Danio rerio: one gene and its partner. The protein of the gene in region 2 interacts with the protein of the main gene of each other region in a pairwise test. Links are inferred from orthologs where the notes say so. Each region holds a gene or a part of one and is shown on either strand. Other genes may lie near its edges.

Evidence for each region.
Region 1: the proteins of max (region 2) and mgaa interact in binary tests that used the Homo sapiens proteins (3 or more experiments, as listed by UniProt). The link is inferred for Danio rerio from reciprocal best matches to the Homo sapiens genes MAX and MGA.

Annotation. Positions count from the first base shown.
Region 1 is NC_133192.1:11,779,149-11,781,979, reverse strand, and holds the end of mgaa (MAX dimerization protein MGA a), read right to left. Parts: intron 2,820-2,831; coding exon 1,969-2,819; 3' UTR 586-1,968; downstream 1-585. UniProt on the Homo sapiens protein: Functions as a dual-specificity transcription factor, regulating the expression of both MAX-network and T-box family target genes. Functions as a repressor or an activator.
Region 2 is NC_133195.1:31,569,088-31,572,748, forward strand, and holds the end of max (protein max), read right to left. Parts: intron 3,439-3,661; coding exon 3,331-3,438; intron 1,966-3,330; coding exon of another isoform or gene 1,951-1,965; coding exon 1,827-1,950; intron 1,753-1,826; coding exon 1,565-1,752; 3' UTR 365-1,564; downstream 1-364. UniProt on the Homo sapiens protein: Transcription regulator. Forms a sequence-specific DNA-binding protein complex with MYC or MAD which recognizes the core sequence 5'-CAC[GA]TG-3'. The MYC:MAX complex is a transcriptional activator, whereas the MAD:MAX complex is a repressor.

The DNA of each region.
Region 1 (2,831 bases), on a different chromosome or scaffold from region 2:
GTATGGAACCAAAGGAAGGGCCAGATCATTGGAGTAGGTGCAGTTCTTTGCCCAAGCCCAAGAAATGTTGTTTACTGCCGACATGTCTTCGGCTCGGTCTATATCATTTGTAAATTTAAAAAAAGGTAAAGTTAGATATCTACCTCTTGTAAATAATTCATCATTTTGGTTTCGATGAAGTCAACAGAGTTTCAGGATCATTTAACATAAAGCCAATGATGCAATAAACAATAGACGTACCTTACCTTGAGAAATCTGAAAGAGGTTTGGGTACACCTGATTGTCGACTGCTTTATATCAACTCTGATTCTTCTTGGAAGTACATACGTATTCTCTTTGGGGAGTTGGTTGCAAGGTAATGACCATCAGTTGATAATTAGCCATTTGTGAAATTCTCTGATGTCTGTATCCGATTTAAAATGACTTCTGAATCTTTAAGGTATTTATTAATGTCTGAACTATTTGTAAAGCTATCCTAAAAGTAACATATACCCAAGTACAATGTAGAGATATGCTTTTTATTTAAGATTAAAACCATTTGTAACCTAAAAAACAGAAGCATTAATGTAGATGCGAGAAAAACTATATTTTCACAGACTTTATTGACATATCCATTGCTTTTACAAAGGTGAGAGAGCACTGATTAATAGCATATAAAAATAAGTATTTTAACAGACAGTTTTCAGACTAACAAAAGGAATAATTTTACATATTTACAACATTCAAGAAGAGTTCCCTTGCCAATATACAGGGTTTTACCAAGCTAACTTATTTACAAAATATAACAGTTTAGCATTAAATATGCAGGAAAGACCATAGCATCTTGTTTTAATGAAATTATGCAGTGTTGTTTTCGATATCTGTCTTGTCTGAATCTAAAGCAAAACAGTTGCATAGTGAGAACTTTATATATATATTCAAGCTTAAAATGAGGAATCTAACCGTCTCGCTGGTAGTGTTACACTTAAATGTTAAAACCCTTTGAAACGTGTAATTTATTCTAAAGAGGAGAAGGGTGAAGCAAGAACAGGTTTTCACATCTAAAACGTTCAAATGCCAGAAACACTCAAACCTTCCTGATTTCTTTTTAAAGCAAACAAAAAGACAAAATAATTAAAACAGCAGTAGTAACACCTCAAAAACCGCAGCAAATACTAAAGCTGATATAAAGTTTTTCTTGTATTCCTATGTTCTCATTACTATTCCTGGTATACTAATACAATAAAACCTTTCTATGGTCCAATATGCATACAGAAGAACCTTTTGAAAGGCACTCAACATAAAATATAAACTTTTAATGTATATACCCAACTTCTGAAAGAATAGTATGTTGTTCCAGAAAGGTTTAACAGGTATTATTGCCTTAACATGCATTCAATGGGCTTAACAGACAGTGATGTTTTAGCTAGATGTAAAGACAATGGCATTTGAGTAATCTCATTAGCAGATAAAGTCACGGGTGAAACCACTTTACTAATAAAAGTCACTGGGTAAATTTAATTATTCCTAAAAAGGTCACCCGGAAAAAACGCCCTCCTACTCCAGCGGAAACAACTGTTATCCGTTCACCTTGATGGCGCTAAGGGAGTAACAATCTTATGTTTAAAGATCAAGTAACTTTTTATTTTTAATGAGCTCCAGTGGGAAATAAACAACAAGCTCCAATATGGAGGGTAGAATGAGTTAACGGCTTCTTTCGACTATCGCCACAAAGAGTGGATATACAAGAGGACAATTCAATTGACGTCTTGCCGGTCAAGTATGTTGAGAATAAACAAAAAAATAACGCCAAAATTATAAAGTAAAACTGACTAAACGTCTTTGGATATCCCAGAGGCACAATATGTGGTGCCCATGGCAGCACGTCTTACACAGCAAACAAAAAAAATAAATACATATAAAAACACATCCTATTTTGTACATTAAACAACATGAGCAGCAGCTGTACCTGATTCAATGATTGGTAGATCACATTTGTGGTGTATCTTGCTCACTTGAGTCCAGATTGGGGATTGAGGGATTGATTACCTTACCAGCATCTTGAGCCTTCAACCCTAGAGGAACCAGTTTAGGCATAGGCCGCCATGTCACACTGGTTCCCTCATTGGCAGATTGGCCTGATGCAGCTTCATATGCAGCTTTCATGTGCAACAGAGGTGGGGGAGTAAGTCCATCACCTGTAGCATTGCATGTTGATGCATGTGGGCTTGAAGCATTTGTTGACTGTGCAACCCCGGATTCAGATGAAACCGAAGGGGAATCTGACCCAAAGATAACTTTGACCAGGTCATCCACTTTGGGTGGGATATCGATTTCATCTTTAGAGTCTGGGGACATCAGATCTTCATCTAGAGTTAAGAACAAAGGACTTAGAGCTCGGTCGTCTGCCGGTTCTTGATCTTCCGGTTTGTCAGAACAAGACTGTACATCACCTGGCACGGCAATTCTCTCATCTTCATCCTCATTAGTCAACTGTTGGCTAAGAAGAACAAGTTCATCCAGCAAAGACAGTAAATTTTCATCCTCAGGATCATCGCTGTCATCGGGACTCTTATTCTCCGGCACTTCTGGGTTGGACTTGGGTACAGATGCACCTTTCTGATCTTCTACGACTGATTGTTTGGGTACATTCGTGGATGGAGCCTCATCAGTCTTTTGCTCCAAATCTGGAATTTTGTCATTGGAAGAATTCTGCTGATTGTCCACAGATGTTGGCTGTGCTTGGAAAACAGGTTTATCTTCCACAACTTTCCGTGGTACTACTAGATTCTCCGCCAGAGAAATAACATTGCTGATATTTGGAAGGCTTGCAGAATCCACTGAAAATTACA
Region 2 (3,661 bases):
TTTTTTTACTCTATACTGATGTAAGAGCCAATCATACAGCAGAAATGTGCAACAATGGGAATCTAGAAGTGTGTTGGTCTTGGAAACCCACCGAAAATAGGTTATGCTATTTAATGGACCCTCTCCTTTTTGTGGCTTCAGTCATTGTTGAAATAATCTTAAATCTGGAAGCATTAGCTTATAGTGAAATATATATCGTTAACGTTCAATATGGAAAATAGTTATTGCACTGTCATATCGCTCAGCCCTAATGTGAAGCCAATGTGGTTTTCTCTAAAAGACACAAAAAAGTCAGTTTTGGACAACGAGAGGCCTACAGTCTAAATGACTGGGAACCACTGGTATACAGGAAGCACACAGCATATGTAAAGGATAAAATAGTTTTATTTATATTCTCAATGTAAAGGTAGGCCTCAACTTGCAAGACAACTGTTGGCAGTATGTACAACATACCTGTAATTTCCATGGAATGGAATCAGACAAAGAAAGACCTACTCTGTTCTACTAATGTCCTAAGAGGAAAATATGGTAAAAGATATACACACGCGCGCACGCACGCACGCACACACACGCCTCCTAGACACTCAAAATGCAACTTTCGCAGTGTGCAGCGGTCAAATTTCCAATGAACATTTAGAACATTTACCTTTAAAAGTCACGACATGAATCTACTCTTTCAATATTGACTATCTTTTGTGGAGGGGAAACATTATTTGGAACGTTTACATTCCCAATATGGAGTGAAATACATAAAATACATGTTTGGGAGGCTCAGATGACAGATGCACAATATATGCTTCATCATCACTTTTTAAACCCATTTTTTTTTAGAAAGAAAAAAATCTTTTTCCCCCCATCTTGTAAACTTCACTACATCAGGCTAAAACAACAAATACAACACAAGCTCAGCAGCCTTCCCCAAAAGCATGTTGATTTTCTTTTTTTCTTTGTTTTTTTTTAAATAAGGGATTTTATCGATAATGTCAAACTGTATCACTCATCCCATAGGTCTAACAAGGGGGTACATTGATAGATGCTTCAAAAACATTCCTTTATGGAAAAAGTAACAAATATTTAGAAAGGCAAATCACTCAGGACAATTTATCTAAGGGTAGGTTCTAAGCAGGCTTTAAGATATTCAACAAAAACGTATATTTTAGCAGTGCTAGGAGTTGTACGCCTCATTCGCCCTCTGGGATTTCAACCTGGAGGGATTGTAGACAAGGGTACAAAAACCAAAACAAAAAAACAAAGCATCATGTCCTTAAGTTGCAAAGCTGCCTCATTTTGGGTTTAAAATCATCGTTTGTTGTTGCGTGCGCCAGGACGCAAGATGGACGAACACAGTCGGAGAGGGAGAGAGAGTAAAAACAAGCCTTGTTTTCTCCTCCTTTAGCAGACGTCCCTCGCTCTCGAGTTTCTTCTGGTGTAGAATCGACATTCACTTAAAAGAGATTGATCATCAAGGTGGTTTGGGGAGATTGAGGTACACAAAATACAACATGAAACAGGCCATTGCTGTGACTCTCCCTCCCCTCAGAGGAGAACTTTGTGGATCCAGGGTTTAGCTATCCTCCGGGCGATGCTTCTTCCGGGTGCGCTGTTCCTCCGGCTCGGACTCGGAGCTGGAATCAGACCCGCCGTCGAAGGCCGACACGGCGCTGCCCTTGGGGTTGGTGTACAGGCTGCTGTCTGAAGACGAGTAGTTGGCCTGAAGCTGCGTGGTCCCTTTGACTTTCTCCAGTGCCCGTACTGGAAATTAAACAGATGGCATGTTTTGGATGTGGTACGAGGGAACTGCAAAATGTTCAAGGAATTACACATACCTTGTTGCTCCAGCAGGGCGTTCTGCCTCTTCAGGTCGTCGATGTCCTGCTGGTGTGTGTGGTTTTTCCGTCGCATGTACTGGATGTATTCTGTGGCTTTGTCTAGGATTTGAGCTCGGGATGCCTGTTTGATAGATTGCTGTCAGCAACAAATGAAAAACTAGAATTTGACGCACGGAATGCAGTTTTATTGCACACACATGAACCTTAAAGTCATTTCATTCAAATAATCACAACTGAAAGCACACAACTTGAGGGATAGTTCATCCAAAAATCTTACATTCTTGTTTTCATGTCTGGTTATCAACATTCTTCCCAACATCTCCATTTTTTAGAGCATAGGTCTCAAGCTAAATTCCTAGAGGGCCGCAGCTCTGCAGTTTTGTTCCAACCCTATCAAACACAGCTGATCCATCTAATGAACGTGTTCATGACTCTTTTGAACACGTAGATTATTTGTATTAGCTGTGTTTGTTTGAAAGCGTTGGAGCAAAACTGCAGAGCTGCGGCCATCCAGGAATTGAATTTGAGTCCTGTTTTAGAGCTTTAACAGAAGCAGCAAGTTTTGGATAACCCAAGGGCGGGCAAAGGAGGAATACATTTTTATTTTTGGATGAACTTTGCCCTAAACTCTGTCTTATATACAATAAGAATTAATGCAAAAGAATTACAAGCAAATATTTTTAAAAATACTAAAAACTTTAATTTAATTGCTTATCTAAATTAAATTCATGCATTTTAATATAAATGTACATTATTCATTTTGACAATAGCTATACAATCCAAGTCATTATTTAGTGTTTATAAAGATACACCACTGCAGCAGCATGACTACCTTAATCTACATGTAAAAATGTAGCACAGCTAAACATCCAACAATCAAGCAATGCCTTGTCTATGTAATATTTAAAACTTCGTATAACCAGTAATTCTCAAATTGATCACCACTATTATAAAATTGTCCATCTTCCTCATTTATAAGTCACTTTAGATATAATGTCTCCTGAATACATGTAAATTATTATCAGCTGATAACCAATACAAGCAAGCATCCCTACTCTTATGACTTGAGTAAATTTTCATAGACTAAAATCGAACTCAAACCTGACACTTTTGCATAAACAGCATAAATAAACATGGCTCTATCCTAAGGGTCAAACAACAAGAATCTTGAGGCCTCTGTTTCAGACATGAGACACAAGAGGAAGGAGAAACCGCATTTCCCCCTGTAATGGCTTCCTGGCACCACGCCTGTACTTGGATCACATCAATCAGTCTGGATCTACAGTGCGCTTAATTCTCCTAACACTTTTCACTCACACCTCCACTCAACTTCAATCATATTGGAAATGCCACATTAACCATGTTGTAAAAGCAATTTAAACAGTCAAAAATGCAACCATTTCAGCATAAAATAGACCTTTCATTGTCAAGCAGAACACAAAACAAACATCCTTTATGTCTACTTGTGTTCCTCATGCTTTTACCAATGACATTCACCAACCTTTTCCCCTTGCAATGCAGGAACAGAATCCCGAAGGCTGTGAAAGCTGTCTTTGATGTGGTCCCTACGTTTGCGCTCCAGCGCATTGTGGTGTGCCCGTTTGTCTGCCTGCAAAAAGAGAATCACAGCGGCTTCAGCCTCTTCACTTGTCATAGTGCCATCTGATAATAATGTTAATAATAAGGAAACATTTACTGTTTAACATTTTTAAAATTTTTATTATAGATATTAAAATCTCAAAAACTTTATTTTTTTTTTGCTGTTGACTAAAAGGCCGAAAATCTAGCTACTTTGGGTTTACATACAGTCCATTTGATGAGAATTTAATCAT